3 linked regions of the Callithrix jacchus genome follow. The protein of the gene in region 3 interacts with the protein of the main gene of each other region in a pairwise test. Links are inferred from orthologs where the notes say so. Each region holds a gene or a part of one and is shown on either strand. Other genes may lie near its edges.

What was found. The genes of interacting proteins can lie anywhere in the genome.
Region 1: the proteins of MAGEA4 (region 3) and WBP2 interact in a two-hybrid assay, tested with the Homo sapiens proteins (2 studies listed by BioGRID). The two-hybrid records come from large-scale screens. The link is inferred for Callithrix jacchus from reciprocal best matches to the Homo sapiens genes MAGEA4 and WBP2.
Region 2: the proteins of MAGEA4 (region 3) and UBXN6 interact in binary tests that used the Homo sapiens proteins (3 or more experiments, as listed by UniProt). The two-hybrid records come from large-scale screens. The link is inferred for Callithrix jacchus from reciprocal best matches to the Homo sapiens genes MAGEA4 and UBXN6.

The regions. Positions count from the first base shown.
Region 1 is NC_133506.1:131,750,801-131,754,736, reverse strand, and holds the start of WBP2 (WW domain-binding protein 2), read left to right. Parts: upstream 1-1,134; 5' UTR 1,135-1,174; coding exon 1,175-1,233; exon of another isoform or gene 1,234-1,348; intron 1,349-3,842; coding exon 3,843-3,936. UniProt on the Homo sapiens protein: Acts as a transcriptional coactivator of estrogen and progesterone receptors (ESR1 and PGR) upon hormone activation. In presence of estrogen, binds to ESR1-responsive promoters. Synergizes with YAP1 to enhance PGR activity.
Region 2 is NC_133523.1:4,202,915-4,206,904, forward strand, and holds the start of UBXN6 (UBX domain-containing protein 6), read right to left. Parts: upstream 2,803-3,990; 5' UTR 2,696-2,802; coding exon 2,613-2,695; intron 2,147-2,612; exon of another isoform or gene 1,799-2,146; coding exon of another isoform or gene 1,785-1,798; intron 1-1,784. UniProt on the Homo sapiens protein: May negatively regulate the ATPase activity of VCP, an ATP-driven segregase that associates with different cofactors to control a wide variety of cellular processes.
Region 3 is NC_133524.1:148,211,911-148,215,905, forward strand, and holds the start of MAGEA4 (melanoma-associated antigen 4), read left to right. Parts: upstream 1-1,188; 5' UTR 1,189-2,235; coding exon 2,236-2,306; exon of another isoform or gene 2,307-3,922; intron 3,923-3,995. UniProt on the Homo sapiens protein: Regulates cell proliferation through the inhibition of cell cycle arrest at the G1 phase. Also negatively regulates p53-mediated apoptosis.

The sequences.
Region 1 (3,936 bases), on a different chromosome or scaffold from region 3:
TGATCTTTTCTAGTGAGGCAGTTTTGTTCCTTCACATAGGGAGACCTCCCTGGAAAGCGAAGTCAAGCAGGTGGATCGCGAGGTTGGCCCCAGCGGGTCAGGAAAGCAACTGTCTGCTGAAAAGCCAACTCTGATCCTTAAGATTAACGAGTAGCGGAACCACCACGTTGGGAGTGCAGCCCCCTCTTTCCGCCTCACGGATTCAGCTTGGAAGTGCGGGGGTTTGTGGGGGGCGGTTAGGGAATGATAGCTGCCCCGTGGAGGATGCCCAGGGCTGGGTCACGAGCTGGCATGAGTCAGCCCTATTCTGTAAGTCCTAGTTATGAGGCTGCCGGTCTCGCGCCGTGCCCAGTCCCACTCAGCCTTCAATCTTCCGGCCGGGCCCCCGCTGGGCGCCCTTGAGGGAACCGCGCCACCGCAAGGGCGGCGCGGAGGCTGCAAGGGGCGCCCGGCCGGCTCGTGAACGTGGTGGAATCCAGACGGGGCGCACCGATCTCCCCTCCCGTCGCGGGACTCTCCCTGCCCCCGGGCTCTGGGCTGGGATTGGTGAGACGGATGACGGGGTGATCGGACGCCGCCAGCCACCGCGTCCCCAAGAGCCGGGGCCTCGGGCTCAGCTAAAGGCCCCAGAGTCACACAAGCGCCCCATAAACGTCTGCTGAGTGAACGAAGGCGCCCCATCTATCAGAGGACTGCTCGGCGATCCCACAGCATGTCCAGGTCGCACTCGGCCGGCTAAACCTCCCGGACGCGGGAGCAGACCCCCAGGATTGCGCCCCTGCCAGAAGGCTGTTTACTTAGGTTCCGCTAAGGAGGCGGGGTGGGGATGGCACAAGCCGATTGGTTATGCAAATTATGGAGCCAATTCCGGTCTATGGTCCAGGAGACTACAAGTTCCAGAATAAATCCTTCCTCCAGCATAGGGAGAGGTCGAGGTTTCCGGAGAGTTGCCTGCTGGGAATTGTAGTCTTCATCTTGTTTGTTACGCAGGCGGAACGGGGGAAGGGAGAGGGAGTAAACTATTACCACGTGACGCTCGGGTCAGGTGGTTGGGCCAGCCTCCGCGCTGGAGCTGTGATTGGCTGACTCTAATAACAAGACGCCACTAGGGGCGGGCCTAAGACGAGCGCAAGCGCACTGCCTTGTGAGTCTCGGGACCCCTGTCGGAGAGACTATGGCGCTCAACAAGAATCACTCGGAGGGCGGTGGAGTGATCGTCAACAACACCGAAAGGTGAAAACACTGCGGAAGGATCCTGGAGGACCAAAGTTCCGGTGTCGAGGAAGTGGGCGGCGGGCGGCGGGCGGCGGGGAATAAGCCCCTGAAGAGGGAGCGCTGATGGAGTGAGGTTGGAGGGGAACGGCTGGGGGCGGGGTTGAAGGAAGGTGGGTGGGCCGTGGGGGGAGGGCCGGGAGATTGCTGTCAGCTGGGAATTGGGGGTGGGACGACCGGTGGGGCCTAGGGTGATTCTTGAAACCCCTTCCCAGAGTTGTGAGTTTAGTAGCTGGGAGGATCCCCAAACAAAAATAATTGTCATTTATTGAACGTCTACAACGTTACTACGTGTCAGACTCTGCGCCTTTTCTACCTTGTTTAATAAAAATTCTGTGCGGTACAATCTACTACTGTCCACATTTCACAGGTAGGTAAAGTGGGGCACAGAAAGGTTAAGTAACTTGCCCGAAATCACAACTCTGTAAGTAACAGAGATGGCAATTCCAGGAAAGGAGTCTTGACTCCAAAGTTAATAGGATTAACTACCATCATACAGGCTTCCAGTATGTTCCAGAACCGATCAGGTTCCAGGTAAGAAACTGAGGCCCCAGAGGTGAAATTAAACAGGTGACGTTGATCAGATGTCTGACAGTTCCTGGCACTGTGTGGGTCCGTAAAGTCAGTCCCTTGCCTCTTCTCTTGAATGCCTGTTGGTTTGAGTCACCCCTGAAGGCAGAGGTCTCCTAATTCAAGGTTCTTTCTACTCCGCCCTCCCCACCCCTTGCTCATTGCATTCTGTCTCTCCTCCAACCTCTGGGCTCCTCAAATGGCTTCTCTCTCCTTTTGTTCCTTGAGTATTGAAAATCAGACCGTTCTGTGATTCCATGGATAGAAAAGGAAAAAAAAAAGTAAAGAAAATCAAACCAGCCTGGGTTGAACTATGCCAACCCTGAAATACCTCTTGAAGGAGCTTAGGAGGCATCTGCATCCCCAAAGGGGACATCAGAGCCCTGTACCCAGCTAAGGCCAGCATCCAGGTGCCCTGTGAGTTGGGAATGTTTGATGAGTCAGAGGAAAATGCCTAGAGTGACCCAGACCACAGGATGCTCACTTTCCGTCCATTTTACCTGCTCAGAGTGTGATGGGCGCAGCCTGTTTCTGGTAATTCCTTCTTTTCTCTGAGAGGTACTTCTCTTTTTTTTAATACCAGTGGTTTCCCACTTACCCTTCCCCTATCAGAGAAAGTTGTGATATGTGGGGGGAGGCAGAAGACAAACAGAACTGTGTGAATCTTTTTATCCTGTAATCAGAGACACCTCACATTGGCTTGTTGCATCTCTGTGTGAGTCAGTTCCCAGGCCCAGCCAGTTTTTCATACCATTTGGCAACATCTCTAGGGACTGTTGTTCTTTCTGTCTCTGTGGAACTTTCTGAGACAAGACTATCCATCTTGCTGGGCCTTCTACCTGGCTTAGAGCTCAGTCTTGCTAAATAAGGCGTGCCTTGTTTTAGAAAGTGCTTCAGCCTCCTGTCTGAATAAGTTGTATCTATAACAATTGAAGTTTAAATCCAGCATTCAAATTTTGATAATTAGGCCCAGCATGGTGGCTCACACCTGTAATCCCATCACTTTGGGAGGCCAAGACAGGTGGATCACCTGAGGTCAGGAGTTTAAGACCAGCATGACCAACATGGTGAAACCCTGTTTCTATTAAATACAAAAAAGTTGGCCAGGCATGGTGCTGCATGCCTGTAATCCCAGCTACTTGGGAGGTGGAGGCAGGAAGATCTCTTGAACCCAGGAGGTGGAGGTTGCAGTGAGCTGAGATCGTGCCACTGCACTCCAGCCTGGGCGACAAGAGTGAAACTCCATCTCAAAATTAAAAAATTGATAAATAGTGAACTTTATTCTTCAAGTCGTGAACTCCTTTGAGAATGATGAAAACTGAACTCTCCTCCCAGAAAATGCACATGTGACGTACACGATCATCTCAAGGGCTTCATGGACAGACTTTCCGGCAGAACCAGCTAAAAACCCAGGTTTAAATGAACCCTGAAGGTGGTCCTATTGTGATGTGTACAGTTATCTCTTAGACGTGTTTATATATTAGGCTTGAAAAGCAAGCCAATAAAAACAACATCCATCACAAGGACTTAAAAGAAAATAGAAGAGTTAAGCCAGCTCTTCTAACCTGCTTAGGGGATGATGGCCTCTCCAGAGCCCTGCGGCTCTGCTACAATGGTGATCGTTTGGGGCTGTGCAAGCAGGCTTTGGGAAATTTTATAGAACCCCAACCTGCTCATTTCTTCCATGGCTAGAGTAATGGGTTTTTTTGTTTGTTTGTTTTTAGTTTTTGTTTTTTTGTAGAGATGGGGTCTCACCATGTTAGCCAGTCTGGCCTCAAACTCCTGGGCTCAGGCGATCCACCCGCCTCAGGTTCCTGAAGTGCTGGGATTACAGGTGTGAGCCCCTGTGCCTGGCCCTGTGATTGGTTTTAATGCAGCACTGTTGAGATGGTTACGAGAGCTGATGTGCTGGACAGCTGCTTGGGAGAAAGGCCCAGTGTCTGGGTGATACCACATCTCCATACTGTCTGACCAAGGCTTTTCCTCTTTTCTCACCACAGCATCCTGATGTCCTATGATCATGTGGAACTCACATTCAATGACATGAAGAACGTGCCAGAAGCCTTCAAAGGGACCAAGAAAGGCACCGTCTAC
Region 2 (3,990 bases), on a different chromosome or scaffold from region 3:
CTCCTAACAAGCTGTCAGGGAGACCTCACCATCCCCTGTTCCCAAACCCAAGAGGGTTGTTGAGAAGTCCAGGTGATGTACCCCATGCCACGCCACCCTTGTGTCAAGACCCTGGGGTCAGCTGACAACAGAACCAGCCTTGCCCTGGCCACGTGACTCCATGCCAGGCTCAGGGCTGTGCAAGTACAAAGAGCTCAGGTAATCACGGCCCTGCCCTGTGGAGCCCTCTGCCAAGGAGGATTCCGTAATCCTCTGAGCACAGTGACCTGGCAGAGCAGCCCTCTCTCCCAGCTGCTCGGATGCGTCTGTCTCGCCCATCTCCTCAGGCCCCTCCCGTGAATTCAGGCGCTGTCACTTTCCATGCTATAGATCTGTAAAAACTTCCAGGAGACCAGGCTCTCAGTTCAAGCCCTATACTCCTCTGGCTCTGCTCAGATTCCCGGGAAGCCCTCCCTCCTCCTCTGGAGGCTTCCGGAACCTGCTTCGTGCCCACCCCTGCCTATCCCGTCCTCCCGCAGCTGAGCAGATTGGGTGGAAGAGATGACTCATGAAGACCCACCCTGGCCCCATCCCATATCTAGGTCTTTCCAACAAAACAGCATTTCCCAGGGTGCCTCACCCCAACCGGCTGTGGGCCCTGCTCCCCCGGGCAGTCACAGGGACCCTTCTGGAACCTCATTCAGGGAACGTCAGCGTCACTCCACTGCATAATGTCCTCCCACTGCAAAATCCTAAGGCCTCCCTCGGCCCAGAGAGCCCTTCCTGGCCTGGCCCCATCTCTCCTGGGCTCCCTGTCGTTCTTCCCACACCCCAACTGCTCCCCGTTGTACGGCCCTGCACTGTCTGCGCCTTCTGCCCAGAATGTTCTCCTGGGGGGTGGGAGGAGGTCAGGGGATCTGGAAAGGGCTAGGGCTACCACAGGGAGAGAAGGAGGGGGCTGATTTCCTCACAGCTGAAGTCTCGCTGTCCTGGCAGAGGTCTTCCCGGACCACCTGGCGGTCCCTGCTCACCCTATTTCGAGGCCCTGGGCACTGCCTGAGCTCTCATCCCAGGCTTGTTGGTTTATTTACCAATCGGCTCCCACTAGGTGGTGAGCCCTGGGAAAGCAGCCGCCTTGTCCTGTCCGCCACTGCAGCCCAAAACAGGACTTGGTGCCCACCCGCCCCACACACCCTGGAGTATCACTCCAAAAGGGACCTCTGCACGCCTTTCCTTTCCTTCCCGTCCCTTCCCGCCCGCCCCTCCGCTCCAATCTTCCCCCCTATGCCTGGGCTCTGGGCTGATCCAGCCATCGCCCTCACACCCTGGATCCTTCCTGTCACGCCCAGTCCCAGTGGCTCTAGTACCCCGTTCACCCACTATTGGTTGAATCAATGAAGGGCTCCCCCCATTTGCCCACCTCTCTCCCTGACCCCTCTGTCCCTGACCCCTCTCCCTCCTTTGCTTTCCTGCTCAGCCTCTCCCCCAGGAACCCCAACGTCCTCACTATGGCCCTCCCTCCATCACCACCCCACTGCCCGTGATTCCCTGACCCGCACTTCCTGCCACCTCCCTGCATCTCCTCCTACCCCTTCCCAGCCCCACCTCTTCACAATCCCTTCCATTATTGCTTATAGACCCCTGCCCTGGCAGCCTGGCTGACCTCCTTCCCCTTCACTCTCCGTCGGTCCCCACCACTCCCTGGCCAGCCAGCTCCCTGCAGCGGCCCCAGCTCTCCAGGTTCCCTATTCTCAACCCAGCAGCCCTCAGCCTCACACTGTCCCCGGTTCCACCTCTTCCCCTACCTTCCATGTGCCATCCCAGCTGGCTTAGCCCTGCCCAGGCCCTTCTCTCGAAGTCTTCCCTAGACAATCCAGAAGTAGGCCTGGCAGCTACCTCCTTTCCCTCCCCTCCCACCACCATCTGTCAGTCCTTCACCTCCAGTCTCCTCGCACACCGTTCTCAGCCCTTCACTCCCAATTCGCAGGGACCTCCCAGGTCACTGACGACTCTGCCCACCACCACTTCCCTGGCCTTCCAGACTTCCTAGTCTGTCGTCAACCTCCCACGTGCTCCAGATCCCAAGCCCACATCCCCTCTTCCCATGGATGCCCCACAGTGTGTGTCCTCCTCCACGCTCAGCTCCCATCCCTGGTCACCCAAATTCCCCCAAATCATCCGGGCCGCTTCAGAACCAGCCGGGTCCCCAGACCTCTCCCTCACCACCCGCCTCCGGACTCATCATCCCTTTTTTCCCCCAGGGTCGCTCCACTGACTCCCAACTTGCTGCAGCCCCGTCGCCCTAGACCCCCGCCACAGCCTCCGAGGCCCGACCACTGACAACTACCCTCCTGGCCCCTTCCCCCGCCTCTTCCCGACCCGCCCCCGGGTCCCTCCCACACGCCCTCCTGCCCCGCCCCCAGGCCGCTCTCCGCTCTCCCCTCCCCCTGACGCCCACGACGCCCACCTAGGCCCCACTTGCCCCGCCCCCGGCACCTCTCCCGTTTCCCTCATTCGCCGCCGCCGCTTTCAGCCCCTCGCCCTCCGATCTCCCGCGCACCTCGAGGCCCCAGACCTCTCTCCCCGGCCGTCCCCGCCCCTCAGGGCCTCAAGCCCCAGCGATCCTCACGCACCCCACGGAGTCCGTGAGCTTCTGACCGGGTCCCGCGCTCTTGAACTTGATGTCGGCCTTGAACTCCTGAAAGAATTTCTTCATGGTGGCGGCTGGCCCGGCGGCTGGGGGCCGCAGGGGCGGGGGGCACGGGGCCCAGTCGGGGAGGGGCCGCCCAGGACCAACCACCGGAAAAAAAATACCGGGCCGCCGGAAGTCCCGCCTCTCCGACACCAGCCACGTGACAATCAGCCCGGCGTGCCGCTCTACGGCTCGGTGCCTCGCGGCCCAGGGCGGACGCTCTGTACGCCGGAGCCGCGTCTCTGTGGTTCTGCCGGACTACGTTGCCAGGGCGACGAGCGCGCTTCTAGATTGGCTACAGTGCCTTGCCTGGCGCCTTCCGTGGGGCTCCATAAACGGTGACAAACGTTGATGGGAGAGGGACAGGCCGACTGAACCTCGCAGAGAAAGTACTGGGCCCTGACCTGTTCGCTGCTCAACCTAAGCTGGGCGCGGTGGCTCACGCCTGCAATCCCAGCACTTTCGGGGAATCGGGTGGGAGGATTGCTTGACTGAAGTTGGAGACCACCCTGGGCAACATGGCAAAACCATGTTTTCCATAAATTTTTTTTTTTTTTTAATTGTTGCCGGGCGCGATGGCTCACGCCTGTAATTCCAGCATTTTGGGAGGCCGAGGCGAGTGGATCACCTGAGGTAGGGAGCTCGAGACCAGCCTGACCAACACGGAGAAACCCCGTCTCTACCAAAAATACAAAATTAGCCGGGCGTGGTGGCACATGCCTGTAATCCCAGCTACTTGGGAGGATGAAGCGAGGAGAATCGCTTGAACCCGGAAGTTGGAGGCTGTGGTGAGCTGAGATCAAGCCATCGCACTCCAGCCTGGGCAACAAAAGCAAAACTTGGTGTCAAAAAAATAATAAATAAATAAATTAGGTGAGAGTTGTGGCCCGTGCCTGTATAGTCTCAGCTACTTGGAAGGCTGAGGCGGGAGGATTGCTTGAACCCAGGAGGTCCAGGCTGTAGTCAGCTGTGATGAAGCCATTGCATTCCAGCTTGGGCCACTGAGAGAGATTTTGCCCAAAACAAAACAAACACAAAACTAACCTTCCCTGTCTGCTCAGAGCTTACGTGATAAAGTCCCAATTCAATGTGGGGCATTGGAGGCCCCCACGATCTGGCCCTGTTTTGGTCCCTGACCGCCCCCCGCCCCACCCCAGCCCATGCACCTTATCTAGGAGCTGTTGAATACAATGCACTTGACTGGGACCTGGGGATCCACTTTGTCGGGCAAGACAGAGAGAAACCAGTTAATAGTGGCATCTTTGGGCTGTGCATTCTGCAAAGAAAGATAAAGTGACAGTTAAGCCTCAAAAAAAGGG
Region 3 (3,995 bases):
TATTCCCATCCACCCTCCCATCCCGCACCAATACCCCCATTCTCTCAAGCTCCTACCAACCTCATAAACCCATTCCGCCACCCCAATACCCCCACCCCCAACCACGCCGGATCCGGTTCCACCCAGTCACGCCCAGATGTGACGCCACTGACTTGCGCATGGGCGGCGGGTTAGAGAGAAGCGCGGTTCTTGGTCTGACCAGCAGCTCGGGATTGGGGGAGGCAAGCGGGCAAGGCACTGTTAGGAGGAATGCTGAGACGCTGAGGGAGGACTCAGGAGCTCCCCACGCGAGATAGATGACGCCAAATAATCCATTACAACTCTGCTGCCAGCTCTGGGCCACCCGTGGCTGGACTTCTGAGTGGGGGATGGGCACCACGGCCACTGTGGTTGGAGTCACAGGGGTCTCGGGACTCAAAGGGCTTGGCGTAGTCAGTGCAAGATTGGTGGGGATAGGCTCTGCCATGAATTAACTGCAGGATCCCAGGAGAGGGCTCTGAGTCCCCCATTCCGTCTCCATTCCCCAACCCATTTTTATTCCCATCCACCCTCCCATCCCGCACCAGTAACCCCATTCTCTCCAGCCCCTACCAACGTCATAATCCCATTCCCCCACCCGCAACCACGCAGCATCCGGTTCCACCCAGGTGCCCGGATGTGACGCCACTGACTTGCGCATGGAGGGTGGATTAGAGAGAAGCGTGGTTCTTGGTCCGACCAGCAGCTCGGGGTTGACGGAGAGAAGCGGGCAAGGCGCTGTTAGGAAGCAAGGCGAGACGCTGAGGGAGGACTCAGTAGCTCCCCACCTTAGATAGAGGACCCCAAATAATCCCTTACCACTCCTGCTGGCTGCCCTGGGCCACCCGTGGGTGGACTTCTGTGTGGGGGAGGGGACCAGTCAGAGTGCCGTTTAAGCCACAGGGGACTCGGGACTCAAAGGGTTTGGCGTGGTCAATGCAAGACTGGTGGGGGTAGGCTCGGCCAGGAATTAACTTCAGGATCTTAGGAGAGGGCTCCGAGTCCCCCATTCTGTCCCCATTCCCCAACCCATTCTTATTCCCATCCACCCTCCCATCCCGCACCAGTACCCCCATTCTCTCCAGCCCCTACTAACCTCATAATCCCATTTCTCCCACCCCCAACCACGCAGCATCCGGTTCCACCCAGGTGCCCGGATGTGACGCCACTGACTTGCGCATGGGGGGTGGATTAGAGAGAAGCGTGGTTCTTGGTCCGACCAGCAGCTCGGGGTTGACGGAGAGAAGCAGGTAAGGCTCTGTTAAGAAGCAAGGCGAGACGCTGAGGGAGGACTCAGTAGCTCCCCACCTTAGATAGAGGACCCCAAATAATCCCTTACCACTCCTGCTGGCTGCCCTGGGCCACCCGTGGGTGGACTTCTGCGTGGGGGAGGGGACCAGTCAGAGTGCCGTTTAAGCCACAGGGGACTCGGGACTCAAAGGGTTTGGCTTGGTCAATGCAAGACTGGTGGGGGTAGGCTCGGCCAGGAATTAACTTCAGGATCTTAGGAGAGGGCTCCGAGTCCCCCATTCTGTCCCCATTCCCCAACCCATTCTTATTCCCATCCACCCTCCCATCCCGCACCAGTACCCCCATTCTCTCCAGCCCCTACTAACCTCATAATCCCATTCCCCCACCCCCAACCACGCAGCATCCGGTTCCACCCAGGTGCCCGGATGTGACGCCACTGACTTGCGCATGGGGGGTGGATTAGAGAGAAGCGTGGTTCTTGGTCCGACCAGCAGCTCGGGGTTGACGGAGAGAAGCGGGTAAGGCTCTGTTAAGAAGCAAGGCGAGACGCTGAGGGAGGACTCAGTAGCTCCCCACCTTAGATAGAGGACCCCAAATAATCCCTTACCACTCCTGCTGGCTGCCCTGGGCCACCCGTGGGTGGACTTCTGCGTGGGGGAGGGGACCAGTCAGAGTGCCGTTTAAGCCACAGGGGACTCGGGACTCAAAGGGTTTGGCTTGGTCAATGCAAGACTGGTGGGGGTAGGCTCGGCCAGGAATTAACTTCAGGATCTTAGGAGAGGGCTCCGAGTCCCCCATTCTGTCCCCATTCCCCAACCCATTCTTATTCCCATCCACCCTCCCATCCCGCACCAGTACCCCCATTCTCTCCAGCCCCTACTAACCTCATAATCCCATTCCCCCACCCCCAACCACGCAGCATCCGGTTCCACCCAGGTGCCCGGATGTGACGCCACTGACTTGCGCATGGGGGGTGGATTAGAGAGAAGCGTGGTTCTTGGTCCGACCAGCAGCTCGGGGTTGACGGAGAGAAGCGGGTAAGGCTCTGTTAAGAAGCAAGGCGAGACGCTGAGGGAGGACTCAGTAGCTCCCCACCTTAGATAGAGGACCCCAAATAATCCCTTACCACTCCTGCTGGCTGCCCTGGGCCACCCGTGGGTGGACTTCTGCGTGGGGGAGGGGACCAGTCAGAGTGCCGTTTAAGCCACAGGGGACTCGGGACTCAAAGGGTTTGGCGTGGTCAATGCAAGACTGGTGGGGGTAGGCTCGGCCAGGAATTAACTTCAGGATCTTAGGAGAGGGCTCCGAGTCCCCCATTCTGTCCCCATTCCCCAACCCATTCTTATTCCCATCCACTCTCCCATCCCGCACCAGTACCCCCATTCTCTCCAGCCCCTACCAACGTCATAATCCCATTCCCCCACCCCCAACCACGCAGCATCCGGTTCCAGCCAGTCACACCCAGGTGCCCGGATGTGACGCCACTGACTTGCGCGTGGGGGGCGGGTTAGAGAGAAGCGCGGTTCTAGGTCAGACCAGCAGCTCGGGATTGACGGAGGGAAGCGGGCAAGGCTCTGTTAGGAGGTAAGTTGAGACGCTGAGGGAGGAAGCAGGAGGTCCCCTCCCCAGATAGAGGACCCCAAGTAATACATTAGCACTATTGCTGCCAGCTCTGGGCCACCGTGGGTGGACTTCTGAGTGGGGGAGGGGCACCACCCCCATTGAAGCCACAGGGGACTCGGGACTCAAAGAGCTTGGCATGGTAAATGCAAGACTGGTGGGGGTAGTCTTTGCCAGGAATCAACGTGGGGATCCGAGGAGAGAGCTCAGAGTCCCACATCCGTCCCCATCCCCCAACCCATTCTTATTCCTATCCACCTTCCCATCCCGCACCAGTACCCTTATCCTCTCCAGCCCCTACCAACCTCATAATCCCAATCCCCCACCCCCAACCACGCAGCATCCGGTTCCACCCAGTCACACCCAGGTGCCCGGATGTGACGTCACTGACTTGCGCGTGGGGGGCGGGTTAGAGAGAAGCGCGGTTCTTGGTCTCACCAGCAGCTTGGGATTGGGGGAGGGAAGCGGGCAAGGCTCTGTTAGGAGGCAAGGTGAGACGCTGAGGGAGGGACGCAAGAGGTTCCCGTTCCAGATAGACGACCCCAAATAATCCATTAGCACTCCCTCTGCCAGCTCTGGGCTACCTGTGGGTGGACTTCTGAGTGGGGAGGGGCACCAACCCCACTGCCGTTTAACCCACAGGGGACTCGGGAGTCAGTGTTTGGGTTGGTCAATGCAAGACCGGTGGGGGTAGGCTCTGCCAGGAATTAACGTGGGGATCCCAGGAGAGGGTTGAGCCTCCCCCATTTCCAACCGCATCCACAGCCCATTCTTATTCCCATCCACCCTCCCATTCCCCACCAGTACCCATATTCTCTTCAGCCCCTACCAACCTCATAATTCCAATTCCCCAACCCAACACAGACGCCCATCCACGCAGCATCCAGTTTCACCCCGTCACACCCAAGTGCCCGGATGTGATGCTACGGGCTTGCACACGGAGCGGGGGTGTTAGAGAGAAGCGCGGTTCTTGGTATGACCAGCAGCTTGAGATTGGCAGAGAGAAGCTGGCAAAGTTCTGTTAGGAGGCAAGGTGAGATGCTGAGGGAGGACTCAGGAGGTCCTTACCCCAGATTGATGACCCCAAATTGTCCCGTACGATTCCT